Danio rerio: one gene and its partner. The protein of the gene in region 1 purifies or fractionates together with the protein of each later gene. This does not show direct contact. Links are inferred from orthologs where the notes say so. Each region holds a gene or a part of one and is shown on either strand. Other genes may lie near its edges.

The links.
Region 2: the proteins of bbs12 (region 1) and mkks purify together in Homo sapiens (co-immunoprecipitation; 4 studies listed by BioGRID and IntAct, counting the BioPlex papers as one, with this or other methods). This does not show direct contact. The link is inferred for Danio rerio from reciprocal best matches to the Homo sapiens genes BBS12 and MKKS.

The regions. Positions count from the first base shown.
Region 1 is NC_133189.1:1,597,606-1,608,345, reverse strand, and holds the start of bbs12 (Bardet-Biedl syndrome 12 protein), read right to left. Parts: upstream 6,700-10,740; 5' UTR 6,649-6,699; coding exon 6,610-6,648; intron 5,901-6,609; coding exon 3,958-5,900; intron 1-3,957. Other genes in the region: uncharacterized protein cetn4, read left to right, coding at 6,961-6,963, 8,729-8,884. UniProt on the Homo sapiens protein: Component of the chaperonin-containing T-complex (TRiC), a molecular chaperone complex that assists the folding of proteins upon ATP hydrolysis.
Region 2 is NC_133188.1:38,935,640-38,945,637, forward strand, and holds the end of mkks (molecular chaperone MKKS), read left to right. Parts: intron 1-903; coding exon 904-1,094; intron 1,095-2,503; coding exon 2,504-2,614; intron 2,615-5,144; coding exon 5,145-5,558; 3' UTR 5,559-5,759; downstream 5,760-9,998. Other genes in the region: srd5a2b (3-oxo-5-alpha-steroid 4-dehydrogenase 2b), read right to left, coding at 8,320-8,386, 8,538-8,688, 8,825-8,926. UniProt on the Homo sapiens protein: Probable molecular chaperone that assists the folding of proteins upon ATP hydrolysis. Plays a role in the assembly of BBSome, a complex involved in ciliogenesis regulating transports vesicles to the cilia.

The DNA of each region.
Region 1 (10,740 bases):
ATGCAAAGAGTGAAATAGGTGTCTTGCTTACAGGGTGTCAAATTTTTCAAGTCCAAATACTAAAAAATTCTTAAATATTTTATAAACAAGCAAAAAATGGCTTGTTTTCAGAAATTATGGGTCAAAATTAAGTGAGTTTTTCCGTAAAACAAGCTAAATAATCTGCCAATGAGATAAACAAATTAGTCAGAGACGTAATATCACTTTGCTGACCCCATTGGTAGATTATTTCGCTTGTTTTAAAAGAAAAACTCACTTAATTTTGACTCAATATGTCTGAAATCAATTAGGGAGCTTTCACACTAGCACTTTAGGTCCGCACCCGGGTTCGTTTAACGTCATAGTACGGTACGTTTAGCTAGTGTGAACGTGTCTTCTGAACTCGGGTGCACACCCGTGAACCGTACCCGAGTCCGCCTTATGTTGTGTTCACACCAGACGCGGAACGCGCGGATAAATCTAGCTATTCGCGCGTAAATAGCCACGTGAACATTTTACTCGCTTCATTCGCTTCAAATCCGCTTCATTTGTGCGTCAATTTCACGTCAGAACAGACGCGGATTCGCGTGATGGGCAGGGCTTCAGTCTGCCTGGTGACACTAGCTTCATTGCTAAATGGCTAACATGGACTTTATGAAGAAAATAACAGTGTTTATGTGCTTAATGAAGACTGAAAAACAGCGTCGATATGTTTAGGACCGTCTCTGAGTCCACTAGATCCTTTCAGAGATGCATCCAGCTTTATGAGCTCATAAACTCCACCAGAAACTTTACCTGGCTGACGGAGGCTTTCAGCGGTGCTTCTGACTGAGCCAAGCCCAGTTTGATGAACTTTTTGCCGATGTCGGCTGGAGGATTTCCCCCAGGACACCAACAACAGGCGATGCGTCACAATCACGGCCCCACAAGAGCAAGCTCCTGATTGGTTAATGCGGCGTGAATGTCCGCTGAAGTTCAGATTTTTGAACTCGGGCGATTCGCGCGTCAAAGGCGCAAAACGCTCAATTCGCACCATGCTATTTGCACGTATCGTGGCATTCGCACCGCGCCATTCACGCAATTCGCATCATTATCGCTGCGCCGGATGTTTATTCGCGCGTTTACATTGACTTAACATGAAAATCACTCGCGTTTGACGTGCGTTCCGAGTCTGGTGTGAACGCAGCATAAGGGTGCTTTCGCACTTGGTTCAATTGCCTGGACCGTATCAAAGTTTGATTGTCCCCCCTTGTCACACACACACACATACGAATGAGCGTTATGAAAACGATAGTTTGTTGTACAGTTGGCGGTTCACTTCCATTATTTGGCAGTTGGTGACGGTCACAAAAGCAAAGCGTCAAAAGACTTCCGCACATCCCGGTCAATTTGCTTTTACTGAATCTTTTAGTTTTGGACATACAGAAAGCGACTCACGTCTATCTGCCGCAACCATATTATAAACATTCAGAACATCACACAGTAGCCCCTTTCACACATACAGACCTTTCCGGAAAATTGCCGGCAATTTTCCGGAAAGGTTGTATGTGTGAACAGGTCCTTTTTGAAAATACCGGTAAATTCGCTCTGGCTATTTTCCGGAAAGAGAAGTTGTAACATTACCGGCAATTTGCCGGAATGCTGCGCTGTGTGAATGCAGAAGGAAGATTGCCGTAATAATCGCGTGCACGTCTAGAACATGCTGACGTGAGACGTCTGCTTTAGCCAATCACAACAGTCAGACGCATTTACGTCCGCGCGGTTTATGAGAATAAAAGCCTTTGAATATTTTTCCAGACACATTTATCTGCTAGAAGTTAGTCAGATCACGTTTCTATGTTCTTCTTAGTGCCAACTGTGTAAATAACCATCGATGAGATGCTTATGATAAGCCGTTGTTTGTTTACCTTCAAGCTTTGCGTGTGCCTGTGAAACAGCCTGTGAGCGCCTGCACACGCTCATATTATGAACATCTCGACATGCGAAAGTGATCCTGCAAAAGTTGTTCACAATATTGATCATCCACAGAGTTTGTAATTTAGTCAAAGGTTTACAAACACAAGCGCAGCCGTTTAAAGCTCATTTGTGGTGAATGATGTCAGAATTTACCGGTATTTTGGAATGGATGTGTGAATGCTCTTTTCCGGCAAATTTCCGTAACGTCCTCGCCTGTGTGAACAGCGCTTTTTTGAATATACCGGTAAAGTCGTTCTGGAAATTTTCCGGATATTTACCGGTATCACTGTGTGAAAGGGGCTAGTGTCTGCAGAAGCTGATTTTAGAAGAGACAAGAAGAAATTATCACTGTGTTTGCCCTGGCTCAGTCCCGCTTGTCACCAAGGTACGATACGTCACACACACACACACACACACACACACACGCGCACGCAAACGAACGTTATGAAAACGATAGTTTGTTGTACAGTTGGCGGTTCACTTCCGTTATTTGGTATGATTGCATTCATACCAGAAGTGAACCGTACCAGAGTTCGCATGAACCGTACCCCAGACCACCTCTTTCAGGCAGACTCGGGTACGGTTCACAGGTGCGCACCTGAGTTCAGAAGACACGTTCACACTAGCTAAATGTACCATACTATGACGTCAAACGACCCCAGGTGCGGACCAAAAGTCTTCGGGTGCTTTCACACCTACACTTTTGTTTCGGAACGTGTCTCGTTTGCCCAGTTAGCGCGGTTCGTTTGGCATATGTGAACAGGGCAATCGCGCTCTGTTCCATGCCAAAGTAATCGCTCCGAGATCGCTTGAATGAGGTGGTCTCGGCTCGATTGAAACGAACCCTGGAGCAGATCGATTGCATTGAGAAAGCGATCCGATCCGAGCGCGGTTATATCACAGTGTTTTATGGATATGTAATAGGCATACGGCTATAAGAAGAGAGAATTATGAGTAGGGCGGGAAGTTTCGCGAGTCTCCGGATGCCCGCAAACGAGTGATGATCTCCCGGTAATCTCGCGTCTCCCTCCCGGTCCTCAAATAGGCTATGTCGCGCACCCTTCCCCACCGCATCTCTCCGCAGACACATCGCGCGCGCACCCTGTCAATCACCACCAAACCACCACCTCTCCTGACAGCTGAGCGGGACGCTGCAAAATAAACCCTGACACCCTGACTAATGTGAGGAGAGTTTACTCGCACGTGACTTGTTTTTAGCTCTTTTGGTCCGATTAGAAACTTTGCAGTGTGAAAGCGAACCGCTCCAAGAGCAAAGAGCAACAATGTAACAATTGTAATCTCTGTTTCGGAACAACTGAATCGATTCACTGGTGTGAAAGCACCCTTCGTGTGAAAGCTCCCTGAAAGAGGTGGTCTGGGGTACGGTTCATGCGAACTCTGGTTCGGTTCACTTCTGGTATGAATGCAATCGTACCAAATAACGGAAGTGAACCGCCAACTGTACAACAAACTATCGTTTTCATAACGTTTATTCGTTAACGTTTCATAACGTTCATACCCTTGGCAAAGGATACCAAAAAAGTGGTACGGTACGATTCAATTTTAGGTACCTTTTGACTGTAGAAACGGCCATAAAAGTGTACCCAACCAAACCGTACCACTCAGTGGAACCGGGCCATTAGACTTTGATCCTAATTGTGGCGTTTTGGTGACTGTTGCTTTAAATTCAAATGAGATTTCAGAAGAGGGCGGAGCTACAAATGCCTGTGTCAGCATAGTGGCAGATTCAAAAATAAGACTAACGTCCTATGCTAATGAGGGAGAGATGGTCACTTGTGGGCGGGGCTTCCCCCTCTGATGACACGTACAAGGGGAGAATGTCAATCAAAGTGTTTCTGCAGACTGTTCTTATCAAGTCTGATTATAACGAATAAAATTAGTTCATGTTTACCATTATGAGCTGGATATATTCACACACTGCTGACACACAACTGTGTTTAACCCCCTTATAAAAGTGATTTCTGCATAATAGCTCCCCTTTAAATAAACATAACAAATTACCTGTCAGGGTGCAGCTGTGTGTACTGTCGAAGCCGGCGTATGCAGATGAGTTCAGTGACTCCAGCGCCATGCAGAAGTTTCCCATCTGTGAGCGCATGCTGCAGCCGGTGCGCGCAGCTCCAGAACTCATCCTCCAGCATCTGCAGTTTAGCAGACACAGAGCTGCATATAACCGCAGTGACCAGAACCGAGCAGTCAGTGGTGATGCTCACAATATCAGATCTCCCACTGATCGACTCTTTCCTGAGCCTCAGCCCTCGGCCCACGCGGCGCTCATCCAGCTGACAGATGTAGGACACCGGGACGGCTCCGGTGCATGTGCTGAAATGCTTCAAAACGCTGCTTTTAACACCTTCAAGAATCAGAACGTCTTTGCATCTCTGTTTCAGATCCACATCAACCACACCGCTCACAAACACAACATCAATACTGGAATCATGCAGGAGTTTGTATGCATTTTCAATCCAGGATTCCTCAGTGATGAACAAATCGGTGATGTGCTTGATGTTTCCAGGCCTATTAAAGCCCACATGGCGATATTTCTCAGATAAATCGCCGTTTATTAAAGCGATATTCAATGGACGTCCCTGAAGGCGCTGAACTTGGGTCGTCTGTTGGACTGAGAGCAGTGTGACATACCCACGCAACACACACGCATGATCTTCAGATACGCCTGGGATGCAGCACGTTGCCAGATTGTGTATATCCAGATGTGCGCGGTTTTGCAACTCATACGCTTTTAAAAGTAAATGCATGGAGGAGCATCCGTGGCTGACGGCTTGTGCGATGACAGTGACATCATGATGTGTGTGTTCGGTTTGTGCATTAAAGTGTCTGCTGTGTTTGAGGGTCATATGCATGCTTTGATTGTCCAATTTAATATCTGATTTCGTAAAATCTTGCATAGTAACTTCTGATTGTGTGTGTTCAGTTTGTGCATTAAAGTGTCTGCTGTGTTTGAGTGTCATATACATGCATTGATCATCAGATTTATCATCTAACTTCCTAAAATCTTGCATATTGTGTTCAGTTTGTGCATTAAAGTGTGTGCTGTGTTTCAGTGTCATATCCATGCATTGATCAATAGATTTAATATCTGATCCCTTTAAATCTTGCACATTGACATCTGATTGTGTGTTTTTAGTTCGTGCATTAAAGTGTCTGCTGTGTTTGAGTGTCATATGCTTGCATTGATCATCAGATTTATCATCTAACTTCCTAAAATCTTGCATATTGACATTTGATTGTGCGTGTTCCGTTTTTGTATTAATGTATCTGCTGTGTTTGAGTGTCATATCCATGCATTGATCATTAGATTTAATACCTGATCCCTTAAAATCTTGCACATTGTCATCTGATTGTGCGTGTTCAGTTTGTGTATTAGCATATCTGCTATGTTTATGTGTCATATCCATGCACTGATCATCTGATTTAATACTTAACTTTCTAAAATCTTGCACATTGTCATCAGATTGTGTGTTTTTAGTTCGTGCATTAATGTATCTGCTGTGTTTGACCATCATATCAATGCACTGATCATTAGATCTAACATCAGATTTCTTAAACTCCTCCACACTGACCGCTAACTGTGTGCATGCATCCAAACACTCCTGCAGTCCTCCCCTCATGGCTGATTTAATGTCCGACACACTGATTCCTCTGTTCAGACACTCCAGAGCGACTCGGCTCCAGGCTCCGGCCAGAAACATCAGCGTGTTCGTGCCCGAGTGGAAGAGCTTCTTCTGGGCCAGAACTGTCTCGTGCAGCAGCTGTCCGACAGATCCGTCCAGCTCCAGGTGTTCCAGCAGACGTGGACAGGATCCGATTAAAACTGCATCCCCGGCGTCTTCATCTTGAATGAACTTCAGCCGTTTGTTTGGACCTAGAAATGCATGAGCGGTGGATGTGATGGCCTGCAGCTGCTGGAGGCCGATGTGACGCCGCTGAGAGAAAAAAAAAAGAGGAGATAGTTTGTAAAAATATTGAATTATATAAAGAAAAGGACACACTTTGTGTTCCAGTGTAAATTATACCTTGCTACGTGGTCAGGGTTAGGATGAGGGTCAGGTTTAGGGTTAATTGCATGAAATTATGCATCATTTATAGTTATTACTACATTAAGTACATGGATCATACAATTACTGAAATGAAGTTGACAATTTAAAAAAAAATATGAAATTAATAATAAAGACAAATAATAGTGCAAACGTATTTTAATAATAATATAATATAATACTAATAAAGATGTTATATATGAAGTTAATAATGTCATTATTCAACGTTTATTAAATATTACTCATCTTTTAACTCTGCATTTAATAAGAATTACAATTAAACTAGCACTGCTTCAGTTGTGCTCTCTTCTCACATAGATTAAACCCCATTGTAACCCTTAAAGTGTGAAATAAGTTAGGAAAGACAGCAAATGCTTTCTTTGTAGCTACAATGAGAAAACTGAATGTTTCTGAATGACAACAGTCGATAACAGTGCATCCAGCATTAGCAAAGTAGCTTCTATTGTACTTCATGCAAGCAAAACAACGCACTTTCAAATGATCTGGGTATCATTTTGCTCAAAATCCGAGTCAAATCCAAGTTTGTACACGAAAGCTTTCATAAATAACGTCCTGATTGAACTGAATCGTTACAAACCTTCATCGCAAAGCTGCACTGTTTACAACTCGGGTCCATGTTCTGAAATGCGCACGCGCACTGCACTAGCACACGGCTTCTATTGAATAGTTGCTAAGAGACGGACGCCAAACGAACCAAGCTGTCCATCAAACTCAACACATCCCGCCCGCTCATGTTTGATTGGTAAAACCGTAAGCACCAAGAGTAGCTACGCCTGCTATTGGATCAATCAGCTGTCACTCACATTGGGACCACGCCCAGTCTGCGCGCTCGAGGAAGCCACGACAGTTGCTGACAGCGTTTCCTTCTGTTTACTAACATCTCACGCAGGTTACAACACGGTGCTTTTATTCTGCGCTTTTTATCAAAATGGTAAGTGTTATTTAGGTTACTTTTAATACTTTATTAACGAATTCGTGTCAGTATAATGTATTTAAAAGGTTAACACGCTGTTTGTTAGCTAAACAGTTAGCTTGTTGGCGTTATTGTTATGGAAACCAGCGGCTATTCGCTTTATAAACAGTAAAACAACAGAGTAAAAACAGTTTAATTTACATTATGAATAAAACATGTTTAATTTGAATTACACGGTTATTCTTTACAGTATGTGTTGAATCTAATTAATTACACTTAAGTTAATGTAAATCTACGTGTGTGATTATGAAACTAATCCATCAACCCAGATTACAGATTAACAACGAGTGAGTAAAGTATGTAAAGGTGTGATTAAGTGGCCTTTATTTAACCTATTGATTGAAAATCCAATGTTGAGGCAAAAGATGCAAAACCAGATTAAACATGAATGCAAACATATTTACATTAAAATAAGACATTTCGCATCAACATTGCATTGCTATTTTTTCCTTTATGAATATTTTCTGCTCACAAATGCTCCATTTATTTCAATATTAAACATTAATTTTCTTTTTGAATATTAAGAACTGCTTTCTGTGTGAAAATATTGTAAATATAATGTATTTATGTGATTCAAAACTGAATTCTCAGCATTATAAGTCACTTTGGGTAAATGTTTTTGCCAGTGATTGAATGTAAACGTAAATATAATCACATTACATAATTAAATATGAGTTTTTGAATATCCTAAGATTGTTTAGAATATAAAGCCTAAGCTTAAAGAGACAGTGCTCTGCATATATGAATACAAACATCACAAATCTATCTTTTAAATGAACATTTTCTATGGGATGCTTTACAATATTATATATGTACATATATGTATAGAGGTAAAGTTGGTTTTATATTCGCATATTCGTTCATTTAGAAGTCTCTACATTGTTTACCATGTTACTTTGAATATTCAATCGGAATTAGCATGCAAGTATGACTTCTAAACAACATTGACACTATGCAATTCACTGTAAACAATGTTGTACTTTGATGGTCATTTGCTGCTAATATGATTTCGCTATTTACAATTTTCAAATAATACTTTTCTGAAATTACATTATTAAGGAGAATGTCTGAATATCCGAATATAAAACCAACTTTACCTCTATCATATATGTCCGTTGCTGAAGCCAAATCTGGAGCTAATCTACCAAAATAACGTATAATGATCTAAAAATTAGCCCACCTAAATGTATTTGTTAGGAAAAAATATAAATTAAAATGTAAAAAAAGAAGTGTAAAAATCAAGAGAAACAAAAAAATTATAGTTAAAAATTTGTAGTTTTGTATTTTCTTTCTATTTCTAACAATCTTTGGTGACTAAAATATTATTCAAATAAATATATTGGTCTATTAAATCTGTTTTGTTTAAATGCACCAAAATATATGACCTTTGTTCCCTGAGAAATGGATAAAAGTATTAATTTTCAAAATGCGATGTACTCGTTTATGCTGAACATATGAATTATGAACATAAACACACATAAAATATAAAGAAAACCCATGATAATCAACATATAGGATGTGTCTGCTCACTTATTTCTGCATTTGCTCTTCTGTTGCACCTCCAACAATGTTTAAGTTCAGTTGATAGTCTTATTTGATTAATACATGACATGACTATTTCAAAAACAGTTTCATAAAACTTTAAAAACATAATTTAAAGTGTAATCTTATCGCCCCCTGGTGGAGACGTGTCTGAATCTCTCTTTTTGCTGTTATTTTCAAGGCGTCCGGCTTCAGGAAAAGCAGTGCTTCAGCAAACCAGAGGAAGAAAGCAGGACCCAAACCAGAGCTGACAGAAGAGCAGAAGCAGGAGATCAAAGAGGCGTTCGATCTGTTCGACACAGACGGCTCTGGAACCATCGATGTCAAGGAACTGAAGGTACAGACACTCTGAGACTCTAGTGTTCGCTATTGAGAAAGTGGATGAATCTTGCCATTACATAACACTGAAATCTGCTAAGTGACTAGTCTTACTTCTTATTCACTACTGGTTGATTAAATGTCCCACAACCCTGAGGTTACATCCATAATCTGTTATCAGATTATATGAGCCAGCCTAGCGAAAGGGATGCTTGCAGTTATCCTCATCAGTTTGCATTTATGATATCTCTGTTGATATTATAATGTGCACTTTTTGATGCAACAAAAACATTACAAATGTTGTCAAATTGCTTAATATTTAAATATTTTTGCATTCAAATGTGTATACAGTTGAAGTCTGAATTATTAGCCTCCCTGAATTATTAGTCCCCGTTTATTTCTGTTTAATGGAGAGCAGATTTTTTCAATACATTTCTAAATATAGTAGTTTTAATAACTCATTTCTAATAATTGATTTGTTTTATCTTTGCCATCATGACAATAAATAATATTTGACTAGATAATTTTTAAGACACTTCTTAAAGTGGCATTTAAAGGCTTTAATAGGTTAATAAGGTGAACTAGGCAGGTTAGGGTAATCAGGCAAGTTATTGTATAATGATGGTTTGTTCTGTAGACTATCAAAAAAATATATAGCTTAAAGGGGTTAATAAATATTGACCTTAAAATGGTGTTTAAAAAATTAATAACTGCTTTTATTCTAGCCAAAATAAAACAAATAAGACTTTCTCCAGAAGAAAAAATATTATCAGACATACTGTGAACATTTCCTTGCCCTTTTAAACATAATTTAGGAAATATTTAAAAAAGAAAAAATCTTTAAATTTATGCTTTAAATTTAACATTTTGCAATAAATAAATATAATATGTTGGGGAAAATAATTAACTAATTTATTAGACCGTTATGCACTGTCATTTATTTCATAATAATGGAATTATGATTTGTTTTTCATCCAAAATGTCCAGTATTTAAAAATGTCTCTACATGTATAGTTTTATAAAGAGATTTTTACTCTTTCATAATTGACATTTTATCCTGAAATGTCATTTTAATATTAAATAATACATTAAATAATGAGCATCAGAATTTTTCCAGCTTATTAATTACTATGACTTAAATACTATTACTAAATACTATGACACATTTTCTGAAATCTTATGGTTATTTTGAACATTAAACAATTAAAAGAAAAACACATTCTTTCAAAATATCGCCTCAGTGATCATGAACTAGAAATAGAAAAGGGCAGACATAAAAAATCCTGGACCCCTAAAAAACAGAGAATATGTAAACAGTGTGACACAAACCAAATAGAGGTTGAGACACACTTCCTTCTGTTCTGCCCTAAATACACCACGACTAGAGAAATATTTTCCCCCAATTTGAAACATTGACTTATTCATTTTTCAATTTAAATGATTCAGAAAAAACTTTACCATGTACTCGGAGAGGATGAATTGACATCTAGACTAGCTGCAAAATATGTATACATACACACCATAAGAAATGGTTAATGTAAATTCATTTATCTTATTTAAATAATTTAAACTTATTATTATTATTATTGTTGTTGTTGTTGTTGTTGTTGTTGTTGTTATATTTATCAAAGTTTTTTGTCATTATTTCTTATCTACTGTATTATTATTATTTTTTTGATGGTTTTAATATATTACATATTTAAAGTGCTTTGGCAATACTGTACTGATTCTTATGCCAATAAAGCAACTTGAACTTGAAAATGGGGTAGAAATATGTAATTAAATATGCACTAATTTGCATACATTTACAGAACAGAAAACTGAAGATTGGAAATGGGCAAATTCAATACTCTTATTTATTTATTTATTTTTCAA
Region 2 (9,998 bases), on another chromosome or scaffold:
TTCCATTTTAAAATATAATAATTCTGAAAATGGTTATTTTAAATTGCAGTGCTGCAGGATTATGTTTTTTTATCTTTATATTTGTTTACCCTAAACGTTTGAACTGTAGCCCATATCAGGGGTTCCCAAACGTTTTATCCTAAATTTCTCGAAGGTGGTTATAAATATACAAACGTTTCGCAAACAACAATATGCCTGTATATAAACACAAGTATATTGACAGCACAAAAAAGTACAACAGTCTAACAGTCATATCATTTTATAGTCATTTATTAATTTATTTAATTTAATATTAACCACACCTAAAAAAAACTGTTGGGCAAAATATTTTCAGCACAAGTCTATTCTTGGTTTATTTTAGAGATAATAATAATGGAGATCATCCTCAATATTCAGTTGTGGCCTGTATTTATTTTTAATGTATTTAAATGTCAGAAAGGTGTCAGAAAGTTTACCCTGGTGCTATAAAATCAATCTGCTGCAGCTGACACTATTGCTGTGTTGCTAATCTAACATAATCGCACTAATCCTTTAAAAAAGAAGTTTAAAGACTGATGCTTTTCATTTGCATGTTTTTGTTTTTTACTATTAAAAACTACTATTTATCTTATGTGGCTTATGGTTAAAATCAATGGTTTAATACAATTTATTTGACTTTTGAAAATCACAAAGCGACTCCCTGTCATTGTCCTGCAACCCCTCAGGGGGTCCTGGACCTCTCTTTGAGAACCACTGGTCAATATATATGAATTTACTTTTTATTTTTATTATTTAAAGCCATGCCTTTGCTTACGTTATTGGTAATAATATGTAATATTATAGTCCAATGCAGTAGAATTTAAAGTAGATGTTAGTCTCTACATTCATAGAGGCTTAACTTGAACACTTATGCTGATATTTCAGGTGCACGGGCTGTTGCATCTCTTTTCTCTCTGGTCCCGATGGAAGCTTATGGGTTGGTTGCTGGATTATGTTTCCAGGACTGTGGATCCAAGAAGCTGCTTCAGCTCCTCTCCTCTAAACATGCTGCAATAAGCACTATGGTCCTCTGCCACAGAAATGAAACTATGCTGGAAGAACTGAAGGTTTGTGCAGTTGAGTGCTTCTTGTTATTTAGACTTTTTTATTTTAAATTTTAATTATTTTGTTTAGCAGTTTGTTTTAATTTGATTTAGATGTTTGAGTTGATTAGGTTCTGCTTCAGAAGCTCTCATTTTGAATCATATCTTCATTCTCAATTTGACTCAGAGATTGAAAATACACTCACAAGCCACTTTATTAGGTACATCTGTCCAACTGCTTGTTATTGCAAATTTTTAATCAGCTAATCAAATGGCAGCAACTCAATGCATTGAGGCATGTATACATGGTCAAGACGATCTGCAGCAGTTCAGAACGAGCATCAGAATGGCGAAGAAAGGTGATTTAAGTCACTTTGAACATGGCATGGTTGTTTGTGCCAGATAGGCTGGTCTGAGTATTTCAGAAACTGCTGATCTACTGGGATTTTCACGCACAAATCAATCACCAGATCTCAATCTAGTACAGCACCTTTGGGATGTGGTGGAATGGGAGATTCGCATCATGGATGGGCAGCCAACACACTGCAAAAAATGCTTTTTTTTCTTAGATTTTTTTGTCTTGTTTTTAGTCCAAATATCTAAAAATTCCTAAAACAAGAAGAATTTTCTAGACAAGCAAAACATTTTATCTTGTTTTGAGAAATAATATGCCAATATTAAGTGGGTTTTTCCTTAAAACAAGCAAAATAATCTGCTAATGGGGCAAGCAAAATAATCTTACGTTAAAAGAAAAAGCAAGATTTATTTGCTTACCCCATTAGCAGATTATTTAGCTTGTTTTAAGGAAAAACTCACTTAATATTGGCATATTATTTCTCAAAACAAGACAATATGTTTTGCTGTCTAGAAAATGCTTTTTGATATAAGAAATTTTCGATATTTAGACTAGAAACAAGACAAAAAATCTAAGCAAGAAAAGCATTTTTTGCAGTGCAAATCTGCAGCAGCTGTGTGATGCTATCATGTCAATATGGACCAGAATCTCTCAGGAATATTTCCAGTACCTTGTTGAATCTATGCCTATTTATATGAATCTATTTTTTTCCAAAACACATGAAATGTTTCGCACAGAACATGTCACTTAGGACAATTGTCATACTTTCAAGTCTTAAATATTTTCTTTTTGTTTGAACTATCTCTATAAGCATTGATCTTAAGTCTATATAGCACTGTCTCCTCAAATCAAGGAGGTCACTGGTTCGAGTCCAATTCTGGTTCTGGTTCCACTGGTTCTCCCCATGTTCGCATTGGTTTCCTCCGGGTACTTCGATTTCCTCCACAGTCCAAAGACATGAATCCAAATGAAGTCAAACTTTTTTCCAGATTTAATGAACTCCATTTGTTGTTCATTCAAATGTATTGCATTGATTTCCTCTTTCATTGCTCTGAAATGATGAACATTTGTTCCATTTGTCGGACAGATGACTTGCCAGAGAGCAGAACATGTGTTGCGACTGACTCTGAGGGAGCCCTACGCCCTGCTTGGAGGCGGCTGCACAGAAACACAGCTGGCCACCCACATCACACATATGGTATTCTATTACACTGAGTTACACATCAGATTGACGTTCAGTTCTACAATATTGATTAGAAACTTTCACAAGTCAGAATTTTACAAAAGAGTTTGTGCATTATATAGTACATTCCTCATTTAGAAATGTAAAAAATGTAGATATTATTGGGGGGTGTGCAAACAAACATAGATATTATTGGCGGGGTGTATAAACCATTACAGTTTGCAGCTTTTGTTGGATCATTCACAATTTTGGGTTGCATCATTTTAAGAAACAGGTGTGCGCCTCCAAGAATAAATTGTTTTTTGAAAAAAGCAGCTCCTCCAAATTGGCAATATATATATATATATATATATATATATATATATATATATATATATATATATATATATATATATATATATATATATATATATATATATATATAAACATCAATAAGGTTACCATACATCTGTTTAAAACAATGCGCTTGATTGTAATAAAATGTTTTGTTAATTTAATCTACAGACAATTACATGTTTGCATTAAATAAGTAAATTTTATTTATAAACAAATTTCAAGAGGATCATATGCTTATGATTGATCACAGCTGGTGCCGCATTAGCCATCACATGATACAACTCATAATAAATAACCAGAGTTTCTTACCTCAGCTATCTTTGTCTTGATGTATCCCTCCTTCCACCCCAACTCCTCCTCCCTTTTCCTTGATAGGGTGGCATCTTCACAGCAAAAATGTCACTGGTTCATATCCTTACCAGGCCAGTCGACGTTTCTGTGCAGAGTTTACATGTTCTCCTCGTGCTCACGTAGGTTTACCCGGACATAACCATTTTTTAAAAAATGTCTGGTGGTAAATCATACTAAACGTTTACTATTTAAGGTCCGTAGGATTACCTAAATGATTTACATTTGCTAAATGACAGAATAATGAGAATTTTTCTATTAATTTCCAGAGAGTCAAAAGTTTTCATTTCTTTGGTATTTTTTTAGCTTTGCTTTTAAACTGTAACTCTTTTCATATGTTTTGGGTATCCTTCCACTAGCTTCTCACAATAGTTTGAAGGAATTTTGGCCAATTTTTCCTGACATAACTGGTGTAACTAAGTCAGATTTGTTGTCTGTCTTGCTCGCACAAGCTTTTTCAACTCTGCCCACAAATTTTCTATAGGATTGAGTTCAGCACTTTGTGATGGCCACTCCAAAACATTCACTGTGTTGTCCTTAAAGCACATTTGAAATAATTTGGCAGTATGCTTAGGGTCATGGTCTGTTTGGAAGACCTATTTTTGGCCAAGTTTTCATTTCCTGGCTGATGTCCTAAGATGTTGCTTCAGTATTTCTACATAATGTTCTTTCTTCATGATGCAATCTATGCTGTGAAGTGGACCAGTCCCTCCTGCAGCAAAACAGCCCCACAATATGATGCCCCTATACTTCACAGTTGGGATGGTGTTCCTAGGCTTGTAAGCTTTCCCCTTTGTCCACCAAATGTAACACTGGTCATTATGGCCAAACAGTTCAGTCTTGGTTCCATCAGACCACAGGACATGTCTCCAAAAATTATTCTTTTTCCCAGTGTAATTTAGCAAATTGTAATCTAGCTTTTTTTGTTGATTCTGGCTCATTGATTTCCCCATGTTGTCACAAAAGGAAACAATATGTTTGAGGTTTTCCCTAAATAGTATTCTACAGTTGTGCCTCAAATTAACTCAAATGTTGTCAATTATCAAAAACCTCAAAAACCTTGCCGACATCATCTTAGCTTTTCAGAGGCATAATAATGCTATGTACACTTGACTTTCAAGAAAAGTTATAACAATTTTTCAAAAAATATCTCTCTTATTATTCTGCTATTAAACATAACAGAAACAAATTTGATAATCCTAACTTAACTAAAAGAGAAAAAGTTTAGTCACATTAACATCTGACTTTTTTAAATGGTTATGTGCCTTTTTATACGGTGTATGTAAACTTCTGGTTTTAACTGTAAGTGAATTGACTAAACCAAATTGACACCATAGATTAGCTCTTAGTCAGCAGTATATCTCTCCATAGCTATTCCTAATTTGTAATTAGCCATAAATAAGCCCCTATCTGAGCTCAAACTCTCCTCTCGCCCTACAAACGGGAGGGAGCCCTAGGCTGGAGGATCTTATGAGCGCAGGGCTCTCTCCTGGGACAGCATGCCAAACACGCTTTATAATCTATCATCAGCTATAAAGTGTGATCTCTTGAATTTTAAATAAGATTGAATTATTTTGAGGCTGCAGTGGTCAAAAATTATTAAAAACACTTTGACAAGGTTTGATGACTGTAGAAACCAATTAATTATCTTCAAAAACTTGGACAAGGAGTTGTGTAGCATGGTCTGAAAGGAAGGATGTGATCCTATTAATGCTGTTTGTTGTACTAAGCCCTGAGGAACCCCTATAGCTGGATGTTGCAAGTGGGTTACTTCACCTATCAGAGACACAATCACAATAGACATTCCATTGAAACACCCATTAATTAACTTCTGTTTTAATTCTTGTTTTTTACTTTACAGAATCAGTCCACAGCTCCAACCACTGCTGCAGCTCTGGGTATTTCCCATTCAGAGTTCCTGATGGCAGTCGAGTCATTTCGCAGTTCTTTACTTGCTGTGGCTCTTTCCTTAGAGCATGATGGACAGGACTGTCTCATTGACCTGACATATGGCCACAGATGGGTCATGGATATCAGTTCTCAGACAGAAGTTAAGCACACCTGTGGTTGTGGACTGCTGGAGGACAGATCCAACCTGGAGAAGACTCATCTAAATACAGCTTGTCAGACTTTTTCTCCTGTTTTCCTAGAAAACAATGACACTCAGCCTAAAGTATTAGATTCCTTTTCTGCCAAGCTTAATGCGTTGAATGTGGCAGTTGAGATGGCTAGTTTGGTTCTTGATGTAAAATATATAATCAAGGATGTTAATTGAATGTTGGTGAAGAATTGTGATTTGAATCAAGGATGATTGGTATGGTAGGTTTTTATAATCTGATGTTTTTTTCCTCCAAGTGGTAATATAAAAATATTATATTTCTTACTCAAAACAAATTTTATGAGGAAAATATTTGTAAACAAAAAAACTGTAATGTCAATTTTATTTTAAATAAAATGCTCCAAGCCTGGGCTAAAATGAACTCTCACGTGTGGCAAATGCAAATAATGAAGATCTTAAACAACTATAAAAGTTTGTTTGGCAAATACTAATATCAATGTTGATAATAATTATTATCAAATAATATAACTATAATTAATTAGGCAGTAAACAATATATTAATGGCCACTAACTTTTACCAACCATTGGTAGATTTGCCAAAATTTTACTTTAGGCCAGCTTCAAATGTCAGAATGGTTTTTTAATTAATTTATTTTTTTTATGCAAACAGTTAAACATGTTGCCACAAGGATGAATTTTTAAAGGCACGATAAAGTTTTGTGACTGTAGGTGCATTTCCTCAGTTTAGCAGTTAAAGGTGTGGTAAAAGTTTTATTTTGGAGTCTGCCTCAGTCACTGTCATTGTGCCTTTGAGCAAGCACTTATCTCCAGGTAGAGTTGTTGAAATTATTGCAGTATAAGGTTTAAAACATCTGCTTAATTTCCACACAAGTTTCTATTTTAAATGAAATTATACGTTGTAGGAAAGAACAAGCATGTTTCCTAGTAATTTTTTACATAAGGGTAAAGTTTTCCTTTTAAATTTATATTGTATTTTAATATACAGTTATTAATGGATATTAAAATATAGCCATAGATACGGCACATCCAGGCCCGGATTAAGAATTCAGAGGCCCCTGGGCACAATGTCCTGTAGGGCCCCCTACCAGGCCGCACCCCTATAGTTGAATTTAAAAATTTGATTAACATTCATTCATTCATTCATTTTCTTGTCGGCTTAGTCCCTTTATTAATCCGGGGTCGCCACAGCGGAATGAACCGCCAACTTATCCAGCAAGTTTTTACGCAGCGGATGCCCTTCCAGCCGCAACCGATTCCTGGGAAACATTCAAACACACACTCATACACTATAGACAATTTAGCCTACCCAATTCCCCTGTACTGCATGTCTTTTGGACTGTGGGGGAAACCGGAGCACCTGGAGGAAACCCACGCGAACGCAGGGAGAACATGCAAACTCTACACAGAAATGCCAACTGAGCCGAGGCTCGAACCAGCGACCTTCTTGCTGTGAGGCGACAGCACTACCTACTGCGCCACTGCTTCGCCCTAGATTAATATAATATTTTTTAAATAAAGTTAATCTATAATTTATTGCCCACATTTTTTTAAACAAATGATATAGTACATATATTTCTAGTCTTCAAAGATTTGACTAATTTTTAAGCATTTTAAGTACACTTTGAAAAAATACTAATAAAACTAGTGAACATGAATGGTTTTTAATATACTTGTTCAAGTTCACTGAAGCAGTTCTAAAAAATTATATTAAAGGTTATTTTTAATGTATAACTTACACAATTATAATGCATATGACTTGGATAGTTTACAGTTCTATAAATCTGAGTCTTCCATTATAATACACTTACTTATTAATGATTCCTACTGTCTCCCTCGTGGTGAAGAGTGGCTCAGCAATTAAAGATTCGAGTCAATTTTATACGGTAACAGCTCATTGAACAATTTACTAGCCTACTTGTTTCAGAGTTCTTAGTTCACTCAGTGAGTCGACTCGCTTTATGCCTCTTCAGATTCAAGGGAATCACTCGGACATTTTACTGAACCGATTCAACTGATTCAAATCAAATGAGCGATTCGTTTTCGTTGTAAACATTGTTTAATCGTGGTTGGTAAATTCTGAGGTCTGAAGATACACTAATCTGGCTCAATGTCCATAATTGACGACTGAGGAGTATTGAGGTACCAATTACTTGTCTTTAAAATAATTTATGTATTTTTCTTTTCCAAATGTTTTAGCTTTTTCTGATTCCACAGCTTGCTCACAATATTTGCTATACTGTAGCCTAAATGCTGGCCTTTTCCCACTTTGGTTCCTCAGAAAACCTTTAAAAATGTATACAGTATTACACCAGATATTTTATACAAACACCCATAACTGATTCATATTTTATACAATTTGATATTTTTGATTTAAAAGCCTGTAGGCCACATTCTTCTCTCTTTACATCCTACTTTCAACGTCTTGATTAAATGATTGTCGCTTTTATTAAATAAAACAGAGGATTAACAACATTTCTAAACCAAGTAGTTTAATTGTTCTATTAATACCTTTTTACTTTAAAGATGCAGTAAAATAAGCATCACCGACTTGCAAAATTGTGTTCAGAATTACCAGACACTGTCAATACCCCTAATCATTCAACAAAATGTAATTACTGATTTTCAAACGAGCCGGTTAAGACGCTTAGGTTTTAATACTGTAGCATCACATAGTATTGACACTGTTTAGGGAAATCAACCCACTTACAATTATCACAAAAAGATGACACAGTTTCACACTAACAACTGCAACAAAATATAAGCAAGTAATAAAACATTCTGTTATATGATTTATCCTTTACCATTACATTTTCGAGTTATACATTTTAGTTACTTTCCTACATGTGGCAGAATTTCCCTCATAATGTATGGTAAATCAGGTAATGAAAACAACCCCAAGAACAGCTCTTCATTGCAACAGTTGAGAAGATGAATTCATTTTATTCGTTGTGGCTCCTCAGAAGATGAAGGGAATGAGAGATCTTCTTGATCTGGGGAAATCTTTGAACTTCTCATTATAAAACCTGGAAGAGATTAGAGTAACCACTTCTAACATTTATTTCCGGCATTGTACTGTCGAAAATCAATTTACTGAATCAATCGAAATTCCAAATGAAAGCATGTTAGAGTAGTGCAGTTTGTATATTTCTGAGTAATTGATGAATTTCGGTTTACTTGTGATGATGATAGGCTCTGGGGCCTATGAAGCAGATTGTGAAAAAAGCAAAAGCGAACGTTGGTAAAGACCATGTAGCAACAGCGTATCCCAGCCACTCCACTATCTCTCCGAAGAAATTTGCTCCAGACACGTACTCGAACATGCCGCCTGCAGTTAAAACGAACACATAAATCAGCTCAGCATTTATTCGCTGACACTAATTGGGGTTTGCTTAGAGAGACTAAGATAGAGACAGTAAATGATGAGTGTTGCTAACATTACAAAGAACCTGATGTATTTGTACCTCTCGGGATTTTATAGGATATTTCTCCAGGGTTTCTCAGGTTTCGAAGAATGTGGTCACTGTGGATATTGATTCCCATTCCTAGGAAAAATATGATCAGACCTAGAAGCAAAGATACAGTTTAAAATAATTATCATATACATGTGTATTCTAAACTTCATGAACTCTTTATCACTTTAAAAGGCACTTTAACTGCCTGGTTGGCCTTTTTCCCAGTTTATTGTTAAAATTAAAACTTTTACTTAGAGTGCAAGTTATTTGCAGGTTATTTAATTCTGCTGTTATTACACATACTATACAATTAAATCCATAGAAAATGTATACCTGGTACCAATAAAATGAATTTTTCTTTCAATTTACAGTGATTTCTTTTAACCATTAAACTACAGTGTGCAATGAATCATTTAAAAATTGTGTAAAACACCTATTAAAACCCACATGAAAAGTTCTTGATCATTTGGTATCAGAAGTGGCTTATACGAAAAGCAAAGGCCTCAAAATTGCACTCATTTTACCAAAATAAAATATCATCATGCCTTAATTATAAATTATTTAATTAGGACAGTAAGGTATGAATTTGCTTAGACAAAACTTTTGTAACTTAACAGAAATAATGTACAGTTGTAACGGGGAGACTGACACGGAGGGATCCATTTTGCAGTATTTATTAAGTCACACTTAAACATCAACAATGTCGCTGTGCGGACATACAACATACACATCAAAGGAGGTTTAGCAGATAACAGACGCAGAGTGATTACCAGGCTTGGGTCAGAGGCAGGCAGCGTGATTCAGAGTCCGTGTAACAGGCTTTGGTCAGGTGCAGGCAGCGAGAATCAGAGTCCGAGGAAAACAGGCTTTGGTCGAGGGCAGGCAGAAGACAGAGCAGAGTCGTGAAACGGGCTGAAGTGGTAAACGGGAGATCAGGCAGGATAGAACGCTCAGAAATGCTGGCCGGGACTAAACAAGACTTCGCACTGAAGTGTGTGTGAGAGCTGCTTATATGTGGTACGTGGGTCATTAGTGGAATGGATAACAGGTGTGCTGGGAACAGAGTGAAATGGATGACGTAATGGTTAGAAGTCCGGAGATGGTGACCTCTGCTGGCCAGCGAGGGGAATGACTGGGACCAAGTCGGTGACAACAGTATAGTATTATAATATATATAGTTAAT